3 linked regions of the Oryzias latipes genome follow. The protein of the gene in region 2 interacts with the protein of the main gene of each other region in a biochemical or structural test. Links are inferred from orthologs where the notes say so. Each region holds a gene or a part of one and is shown on either strand. Other genes may lie near its edges.

Evidence for each region. The genes of interacting proteins can lie anywhere in the genome.
Region 1: the proteins of hdac6 (region 2) and cttn form a complex in vitro, tested with the Homo sapiens proteins (3 studies listed by BioGRID and IntAct, with this or other methods). The link is inferred for Oryzias latipes from reciprocal best matches to the Homo sapiens genes HDAC6 and CTTN.
Region 3: the proteins of hdac6 (region 2) and tppp form a complex in vitro, tested with the Homo sapiens proteins (2 studies listed by BioGRID). The link is inferred for Oryzias latipes from reciprocal best matches to the Homo sapiens genes HDAC6 and TPPP.

The regions. Positions count from the first base shown.
Region 1 is NC_019861.2:2,175,536-2,179,020, reverse strand, and holds the end of cttn (src substrate cortactin), read right to left. Parts: intron 3,436-3,485; exon of another isoform or gene 3,334-3,435; intron 3,134-3,333; coding exon 3,062-3,133; intron 2,046-3,061; exon of another isoform or gene 1,977-2,045; coding exon 1,840-1,976; 3' UTR 571-1,839; downstream 1-570.
Region 2 is NC_019865.2:34,318,354-34,321,929, forward strand, and holds part of hdac6 (histone deacetylase 6), read right to left. Parts: intron 2,364-3,576; exon of another isoform or gene 2,347-2,363; coding exon 2,261-2,346; intron 2,010-2,260; coding exon 1,925-2,009; intron 1,856-1,924; coding exon 1,815-1,855; intron 1,720-1,814; coding exon 1,623-1,719; intron 1,300-1,622; coding exon 1,202-1,299; intron 1,103-1,201; coding exon 998-1,102; intron 873-997; coding exon 804-872; intron 1-803.
Region 3 is NC_019874.2:16,680,368-16,683,787, forward strand, and holds the end of tppp (tubulin polymerization-promoting protein), read left to right. Parts: intron 1-675; coding exon 676-829; intron 830-912; coding exon 913-1,122; 3' UTR 1,123-2,850; downstream 2,851-3,420. Other genes in the region: cep72 (centrosomal protein of 72 kDa), read right to left, coding at 3,364-3,420.

The sequences.
Region 1 (3,485 bases), on a different chromosome or scaffold from region 2:
CTAATTGACGCACAACTCGCACACGGTTCAAGTGTGATTGGTCTATTTTTTTTCCCCCTCCAGCAGTCTATACCGAGTAGGGGTCTTCCGCTCCCCCCGTCCGGCTCGGCCAGCAGCTGACTCAGAACTAGTTTGGATCAGAAGAATCCAACTGAGTAAAGCGTGGCGAGGGGCCGGCGGCGGGCGCTGACCATGGTGCTGACGTGATTTCTGCTCAGAGTAAAGAAGCTCAATGCAGCGCGGGGTTACGTGTTCTACGTGTTCCGTGGTTTTAATGTTTTAATGTGAAACATCTGTGAAAATATCCCAAAGAACCACCATTGTTCCGTTTTCACGTATGACCAGTTTCCATCCGTGAAATATGTGAAACATGTACGTAGTGGCTGTGGGACACGGTCTCTATATTAGCGGTGCAACAGAAAGTGATGAGCAACGTCAGAGCCATCCAGCCGTCCGGTTCTGATCCAGACTCCAGCTCAGACCAGGAAAACACAGACGTTCATGGATCTGTTGATCAGAACGGATTACCGTCGGCTTCTGATTAACAATTAGCATGAAAACAAATACAAATGCAATTTTAATCCTTTTATGTATATATGTGTGTGTCAACCATGAGAAGAAAATGGGACAAGAACATTTTACAAACATTTTTCCATCAGAGTGGGTCTTTAAAGGATCCAAACTAACCGAATGAAGAGACTTTGAATGTTTTTGTGCTCAGACGTTAACATGAAGACAGATCAGAACTGCTGCTGGCTTCCTGAAAGCAGGAACGTCTAAACGCATCTTAAAAGGGATCCGTTTGGAAAAACCTTTGCATTTAGCAGCTGCGTTTGGACATTTGAGGCTCCAAAACATCAAATATCAGCTTTCTTTTGATAATTCAGACAGTGAAAGTGCATTAAACATCCAAACATTTTCCTAGAATTCGGATCTGAACATCATAAATGGCGTCGTGTTTTCTGCGTTCATGCTCTGCTTTACAGTTAAGCATCTTCTGCTCACGGGCTTGAAAGAAACAGCATTTTAGGGGAAAGGAAGCAACAAGTAAAAAAATATGGATGTACATAAAGTTAAAGACGCCATAAGCCCCTCCCCCTCATCTTCATTTCAGATTATTTTAATATCTCACTTTGTTCAAATGAAGCACAGAAAAAATATTATTCCGTTTATTTATTGAAACTTTAAAAAAAAAGAGCAGATAATGATGAAACTGAAGCAGAGAGGTGTTTCAGATCAAACGTTTGAAAAAGGTCACTTTTTTAAATCCGTTTCCCCAAAGATGAGCGGATGTTTCAGCTGCACTGCGGCGAGGCGGACTCAGGATGAGCGCGGGTCCCGAACATCGCCGGGATCCACGCGGGATCTGCTCAACGCCGGCGGCAGCCTCACATCCAGAAAACACAGAAGCAGCCGGAGACGAGGGATTCCTGCGGAGGGTTCGAGCACGGAGCGCAGACGACGCAGACGGCGCAGACGACGCAGACGGCGCAGGAGACGCAGGCGGACAGAAGCTAGGAAGGACGCTCTGGACCTCTCAGCAGAACCGTTCTTCTGCTGTTCTTTAAACCAACTCCAACTCTTTGGTGAAGATTGCACCGGGGGGGGGGGGGGGGGGGGGGGGGGGGGGGGGTAATAAACGCGCGCTGATGCAGGGGGGGCTAAACCTGTGGAATGACTTGAATGACAGATCGGAGGCCGCCTGACCTGAAAGCCGGTCTGAGGCGGGAAAAGGAGCGACGACGTCTCTCTGTGTCCAATCACGAACATGAGCTGAAGGGAGGGAAGACCGCGGCAGAGGCTCCGCCTCCGGGGGAGGGGCTGGCCCTCCGCCGCTCCTTACTGCCGAACCTCCACGTAATTGGCGGGGAAGAGGCCGTAGGCTCCTCGGCACACGCCACGCCACCAGCCTTCATCGATCATCTCAATGTTCGTGATGATGTCATCGGGGTCGAAGGAGATCTCGTCGTCACCAGCTGAGACGGAAAACATGGATGTTAGAAAACCATCTGCAGACACTGGAAACAGACTCCGCCTCCAAAAAGGTATTTTCTTTAATCCTATTCTCGCATTTTGAAGGTCGAGATAAAGAAACGGAAATAAATTACAGGAGTTTCATCTAATTTTAGCTTTCTAAAAAAGGAGTAGTAGGCTGTGTTCAGACCGGAGAAGCGTTTGGTTCTGACCCGGATCGAGTCCTGAACCTTGTCTTGGGTCTATATTCAGACGGCTGTCAGGCAGCCTTTCTGTTCCAGACTAAAGCTTGTCAACAAAACCATGTGACTGCAGACCTCTTCACTCATTGGTCAGGAGTTAGGAGGGCGGGGCAAAGCAACCAGAGACAGAAATGATGGAAGTCCTGCACTTTCAGTTCCTTCAGACTTTAGATTCACTGACAGATGTGAACGTCTGCATCAACGTCAGGCTGCAGGACGGTGACGGACAGAAGAACACGAATGTGTTTCTGACAGTCAGGAAAACGGTGAGAAGTGATGTGGATCACCTTCCAATAGTCTGAATGAGTTTCTGCATCTCATCGTTGTGCAGTTATGGCGTCGATTTGAAGAATTCTGTTCAGGAACTACAAGGTAACTTTTAGGATGACGTCACAGCGGCGTTTGTCGGCCGTAACCACACAGAAAAGCCTGTCAGAAGCGTTTTAAGGTCGGCTACGGTGGCCCGGTGGGTCCAGATGTTCCGCTCCGAGGACGGATTGTATTCAGGCTGAGGAATCTGATTGGAAACGAACCCAGACCACCTCCAAAGGTGGGTCACAGAGCGGTTCCTGGTCCTGGACCAGAGTCCTCTTGGGTGGATTCAGACTGAAAACTTGTTCCAGATTATCTGGAAAAGCGAATTCTGGTTCACTTAGGGAACCAAACGTGTCCAGTCTGAACACACCCTTAGATTCCAAAAAGAAAGACATTCTAGCCTCTGAAGGAGTTCAAACAGAACCCTGATGTGTCAGACAGAGCTCGTCTTTTTCTCTGGGCTGTCGGCTTCAGACCCTGAAGGTGCAGCTGAAGTCAACCGCTGAGAACGGAATCCTCCTCCTCCTCACCTGCTTGGTAGTCGTACAGCGCCACAGCGGTCACCCCGAGGTCCTCGCCGTACTCGAACTGCTGATCATCTATTAAAGAGCAAATACAGCAGGTCCAATCAGACGCCCTTCCCTCCAAACATCTGACACGCCCATAATATTCAGATTCCCCATATTTGGACGGCCTAGGATGTAAACCAATCCCTGCTGTGCCCTGAGCTCTGTCTGTCAGGCAGAAGACAGGCTAGAGTCCTGATCAGCACAAATCAGTGTGTTTTCCTTTAACGTGTCAGGAGGACGTCACATCCAGGAAACCTTTGAATGATGGGAGAGATGAAGAAAGACGAAGACGGCTGAAACCATCATCAACCGGAGAAGAAGCTGCTGCTTTGGAGGTCAGTGTGATGTCTGTGGAGTTTAAGAACCTTCACCCCACAGACAGGCT
Region 2 (3,576 bases):
CATGTATTGTTCCTCTTTTCCTCTCCCCTCCTGGGGAGTGGGAGTGCTTCCAGACTCCAGTTGGTTCATCCGTGCTCCAGTTCCTGACCGTGTACCTCGCCTTTGCTCCTGCTCCTACACCTGGCTGTGGATCCTGCCTCTGGCTCATCTCTGGCTCGTCTCTGCTCTGTACCTGACCGAGTACCTCGTCTCTGCTCCTGCTCCTACACCTGGCTGTGGTTCCTGTCTCCGGCTCGACTCGCGCCTTTGACTGTCCCCCCAACCACGGCTGGATGAAGCTCGTCTGCTGGACTTTAAATGTGTAGTTGTAGATTTAAATAAGTAAATTCTTCTCTTTGAGTTCTGGTAAATCGCATGTCCGTCCTGGGGGAGGATCCCTCCTTCATGTGGACACCCCTGAGGTTTCTTCGTTTTTCCGGAATCCGGTTTTTTGGGAGTTTTTCCTTACCGCGAAGGGGGGTCTAAGGGCAGGGATGCCAGTATAGCTTAGTCAGTTTGTTAGTTCATTTTAGTATTTTAATATTGAACTCTTTGTATTTGTGATCCTTTTGAGTTCATGTTTCACTTCGAAGCCCATCGAGATGACTGTTGTTGTGATTTTGGGCTATACAAATAAAATTGAATTGAAAAAATTGAATTGAACCATGGTGAGTGTGTGTGTGTGTGGGGGGGGGGGGCATTTTCTATTTCCTAAGGGGGGCCTTGGAAAAAATAATTGAAAAGCACTGCCTTACACCAATGACTCTCTAACAGGGGATTTGAACACCCAACCTACAGTATTGACCTACAACCCCACCAATTACCTGGGATCCTCCTGGAAAAGGTACTGAAGACCCTGCCCATGGTGAACATCCCAGTCCACAATTAAAACCCTGAAAGACAAAGCGATAAAAAGAATAGCACCAGATCAGAGGCGCACAGCTGTGTAGATGGTGTCAAAGAAGATGTGAATGACAGCATTAGAAAGCTGCTGCTCCCTTGGCTACACACACTGTACCTGCTGACGGCGTGACGGCTGCAGGCGTAGCGAGCTGCAATTGCCACATTGTTGAACACACAGAAACCGTTGGGCTCGCTGGTCTGAGCGTGATGACCTGGGGGCCTGTAAGAGAAAAAGAGACATCACAATGGTGACTTAAATGATGGAGAAACGACACGCACCTGATCCTCCAAGCATCACAGAGGAAGCAGCTGCATTTACCTGATGACAGCAAATCCATTCCTGAGATTAAAGGCCATGACCTCATCAACCAGCTGCAGGACAGAACCGGCTGCTATTGCACATACCTTGAAGGACAGCTGACAAAGATATACAGACACACTGCTGACTTGACTTGAATGTCATGATGTCACTGTTACAGGAAAAAGCATGTTTTCACTCCAAGGGTGCACACACACCTATGTGCATGTGCACATATAATTGTTTCTTTGAGTTTGTGTACGTTTGTGCATTAATGTGTGTTTGAGTATAAGTGTGAGTACATTTTGTGGCTGTTTGCACATTTTCTGTGATCATGTGTTTACAAGTACATTTGCCAGTGTGGTTGCATGAGTGTTTGTGTGTACGTGTGAGTATGTGCATGTACGTTTGTGATTGCTAGTGTGCAGGCGTGTTTGCTCACAGGATGCAGATAGACAGAGTCGTATTTGCAACAAAGGGTCTGCAGCTCAGACTGTGTCATGGTCTCTGTGGACTTGACCAGGTCTATATAATCCTTCCTGGAATAACACAATCAGAGCACAAGTGTGGGATGAGGTGGCAGGAAAGACAGGGGTTGTGTGTGTGTGCATGTGTGCAGCCTGCTCTGACTCACGTGTGTACGAGCAGCAGCTCCTCCTCTGTAGCTGCCCGAGGCTGAAAGCCAAACAGAGGGTATTTTCCTTTTGATCAGAGAAACTCTCAATTTTGGCTCACAGCTCTCACCTGAACACTGACGCAGCAAGGCAGCAGCTGCTGCCGCTCCAGCTCCTCCATGATGGACCTGACTCTGTCTGGACTCTCTGGATGACTGACAGCAGGAGAGAAAAACATCAGAGGATCCAAGGATCACCAAGACCTGAGAAACTCTTCACAATCAAGCTCCTGAGAGTCACCAACAGAGATCAACAGCAACTTTCGTGTCCCTGTGTGACAGGGACACGTCTGAGCCTCTGTGGGGACCCTGCTGATCTTCAGAATGACCATGCTACACCACAAACTGAATCCATGACCAAAGACCAAAGCAGTCCAGAAAGAACAAATGTTCTGAGGCGCGGTTACCTGGGCTCCCACAGGTTTTGGTGCCGAGTAAAGATCTCCGAGTAAACCAGACCGGTTCCTCTGGCTGCAGATCTGCCGGAAAGACCCTGGATACCGAAAAAGGCTTTCAGAGCAGAGAAAAGTGAGAAAAGTGCACTGTTCAGCATCTTTAGGAAAAGCCTACATGCAGAGTCTTATTACATGCCTTCTTGAGGGGGCTTCTATCTGGAGTTGATCAATTTTTAGCCAGCCCCATATTTTTTTATTTTGATGTACATCAGCGTCTGCCTTTTAATCTGACGGGGCGATTTTGAAGTGGTTATTTTGGCAGAGACGACAGAGAATGCATGTGTCCAGCATTGTCTGCCACTTGCACCATCTGATTGGTCATGGAAACCACACACTGAGTCCTCTGCATGTCACAATATTCTAGCAACTAGGGCCGTCGCTTTTAACGCTTCAATCATGCGTAAACGCAGGCATCTTCTAACACTGTTAATCACACTTTTAAAAAATGAATGATTTTCCTCCCCATACTAAGAAAGCGAGCGCCTCAGCTGCTCTGTGTGCCGGTATCACTGTATGGTAATAATAGACCTACAAAACATGCAAGTACCTTTTTTTCTGCTGAGTGTGCGTATCTTTATGAGGTTCCTTTTGTGCCAAAAATATGAAAATATGTTTTTGGGTCCATTGTCTATGTCAGGGGTGGCGAACAAGTTTGTCACCAAGAGCCGAATTTTTTCACTGTGAGAGTCAAAGAGCCACATCACACACTGACCTGCCAAGACGTACACACACAAACACACAATTAAAGCCATATCATTTTCCATAACACACTCCTCTCCCTACAACACAACAGCAAGTATGGTACTTGTGTTTATTTCAAGGAAAGCGTCCATCCTCAATACACACATCAAATGCAGCTTAGCCAGAGTTAACACAGGTAACCCTGGAGGTCAGATACCCCCTCCACACACACAGGCACCTCTGTCACATCTCATACACACACACACAAACACTATCTTTCTCTCTCTCTTTTCTCTGCCTGTCTCTGACACACACAAATACTCAGTGACGTGCGGTGAGGTTGATGGCTGATGATTGTAACAAGTGAATATTTCACCGTTCATCCATCAGTATTTAACTATTAATTCTTTGTATCTCAACATTCCTCTTTCAATGACCCTCACACCAACAAATACACAAACATCTGGACAGAGCATCCTTCTGGTGTCTAAGTCATTCATATTCACAGTAAACACATTGAATAGATTACATTTCAGTTGTGTGCAACTTAAATTAATTTTAACCATCATAAGAAAATCTTGCTTTTG
Region 3 (3,420 bases), on a different chromosome or scaffold from region 2:
GGCTTTACCCTCAACATGCTTTAACGGAGTACGTCCGTGCAGGAAGATCTGCAGAGGACAGTTATTTTAGTTGGACACCACTCCTGACAATAGACAGCATGGAACAGGCGCAGAGGAATGGAGCTCTCAAATGTTCACGACTGAAGGATTGTCCAAACAAAACCGGTCACCGAACGAGTCCAATTGATAATACACCCGAACATTTGTTTGCTGCAGCTGGTTACTATGACAGCAGGTTGCCTGGGGAGACGGCAGACTTTACAGGCTGTTGTTTAGGGGATTTATCTCCACAGCATTGACTGTTTGTGTTTGTGTAACTAAGGACTTTTAACATGGAAGTGAAACGGGCAAAAGGCCAGTTAAACAACTGGAGCAGTCTACATTGGTAGAATGATTAATGATACTGATCTGTGCTGCAACTTAAAAAAAAAAATCGGAATATTAGAAGACAGATTCCCAGGTATTTGGGTTTTCCAGGTTTAATCAGCCTCCATAATCATAAACAGCAGCATAGAGAGGCAAGTTTTGCTATGGCGACAGCTACAAAGTGAAGTAGAGAGAAAAATGTTGTCAACATACCGCATGTGATGCAATTTTATTCTTTCAGTCAGACATTGTGTTCTACATTTAGAGATCTTATTAAGCTTGTTATCCTAATCAAACCTCCTTTTTCAGGAAGAAAACTTGCCGCACCATCACATATGACGAATTCAAGGTTGCACTCGGTGAGCTGGCCAGGAAGAAATACAAAGACAAGACGGGGGAGGAGGCTGAGGCGGAGGTCTTTAAGCTGATCGAAGGGAAGGCGCCGGTCATCGCCGGAGTCACAGTAAGATCTGATTCACACCGCGCACATGATTTGTGCCTGTGTTAATAGCAAAGCGCAGTTACAGCCCGTCCGCTTCTTGACAGAGAGCCGTGGCGTCCCCGACCGTCAGCCGTCTGACAGACCCCACCAAGTTTACCGGCTCGCACAAGGAGCGCTTCGACGAAACCGGCCGCGGTAAAGGGAAGGCCGGGCGGGTAGACATAGTTGACACTTCAGGATACGTCTCTGGATACAAGCATCGAGGGACATATGAGAAGAAAGTGAACAAACCCACAGAGGGTAGACCCATGTGAGGGCGAAGAGAAACATTTCATCCACTACCAGGATGATTTTATATTTAAAAAAAAAACATACTTAGAAAGCACAAAAAAAAAAGGTTTCATCTATTTTCCCGCTCATCTGTTGTGTTTTTTTCTTTTTGAGGAGTTCTTCTCTTTGTGTAAGAACTGGAAAAATGTTTACAGCTATTTTTACAAAGTCGTCACCAGCTGGTACATTCCTGTCTGATAGCAAGTGACTGCCAAAACACGAGAAGAACAAATGCAACTGCAATGCCATGAGTATTCAAAGTCTGTTATGATAGGACCTTATGTTTATCGAGCACAACGAACAACATGCCAAGAAAAGCAGCATTGCAACCGTCTGATGAATTAGCAACATTGCACTTTTTAATAGAAACATTTTTACTACCATATTTAGCTACATTACATTATTCAGCACCTAAGGCGTTTTTAATCCGCTTTAGCTTCAGCTGTGATCGGCACACAGGTAACTGATGTTTGCTGTAAAAGCCTATTTCCTATTAAGCAGTGTTGCACTATGGCTTAAAAAAACCCTGTTCAGTCTTTTAATTAAGTTCAAAAGGTCACTGGAGCAGAAAGTCCTAAGATTACTCGTATTTATTTGAGTCACACCTCTAAAGAAAACTTTGAAAGGGATTGCTTTTACATGAAACTAAAGGGATCATTTTTCTCACTACTTCCTTTTACACACAAAGAAAATTAGGGCACCTAAATGTGTTAGCACTATTCCCAACTTTAAAGAATTTGTCTTTTTGCTCAACCGAGACATATTTGCGTTGTCAGCTTGTGTTTAAATGTGTCATATATTTTACTCTTCATTTAGACAAAAAAAAACTCCATCCCTTCATGCTGCGTGTGGCTCTTCATGAAATCTTTACTCTCACTGTGTTGACGTCTCAGAGTCTGCACAAAAGTGTAAAAAGCCTTTTCATTCTGATAAAAGTACTAACTCTTCAACAAAAGAAATGTTATTAGACTGTATTTTTAACATTTTCTCTTTAGATTAAAACTAATCAACCCTGTGGCAAGACTGTGTAAATATTCAGACATATTTAGCCGCGCACCCTAATTTAAATCACTGGTTGTGTGTTTTAAATTTTCCTGTGATGTGTACTTTTTTTTGCATGTTCTGAATATATTGTTCCAGGGCCTTTATGGATGAAAACTCTGAAACTGCTGTGCCAAACTAACAACTGTTGTGCTTAAAATGTCATTGAAGCCGTGGGATACTGATAAAATCTTGTGTTGCTTGAAATGTTTGCAAAGTAAATTATCCTCGAATGCAACTCTTTTTGTCTGTACTGTTAATGTTTGGTTATCGAACTGACGAAGCAGGGTTTTTTTAATGTTTATTTACTAAGTATTCCACATGAAAGGAGAAACAAACAAGCCACTTTTGTAAAATATTTTTCCAAGATAACAGTTTCTTGTGTAACGCACTACCTGTAGCCTCAGCCGATGAAGAGTCATGCATCAAAACTAGCAGCTCGGTGTGTTTTTGTGTCTGCTGCGAACGCTGGAGTATCGTTTCTGTGCTTCTGATGCCAAATAATGTGCACTTTTATTGTGGAGAAACAATAGTTTTCCAAGTCCTTTTTAACATGCTCATTGTGACCCAGTGCATGCCGTGTTTCAGCGTCTGTCCTTGATCTCGAGATTTCTCCAGGTGTGTTCATGATTTATAGTGCTTTATTCAAAAAATAAAGAAATCCCAACATGTGCCGAGTAGGAGTCAAAAATCAAACTGCAGCAACAGCACCAAACCAGTGACCGGTAACATTTAGAGGAGAGCCAAAGCTGTGTGGACTTTGTGTTGCATAGAAATGCTAAGCTGGTCAGTCTTGTATTAAGGTTTGTGAGAGGAAAGTGCATGTGCGTGCGCAGCCCTCTAGCCCTTCAGGCAGACGTATAAATAAAGTCAGAGTGCAGCTGCAGCCTTGATGCATCCACTCCATTGCAGACAGACACAACTGACCTAAAAAAAAACAGAGAAAAAAAAAGAAAAAGATCTTACAACAAGATCCAGAAAACCTACGACACCGACCTACCTTCTCACATTTTCTCCCTGATAATAATTTGTTAGCATAACAGACCTGACGTGCAGATATACACAATTTCATGAATGAATGGCTCTCCCTGGTTACTGTTTATATCAAGAAGAAAGTCTGTGCTAATTCTTTTAAAAGAAAAAACTACCGTGATTAAAATAATATGTTCAAATGCACCTTTCCATCATATCTGCCTCAAATGCTCTCCGCTTCCCTTCAGCTCGGCAAGCAAAGACTGGTT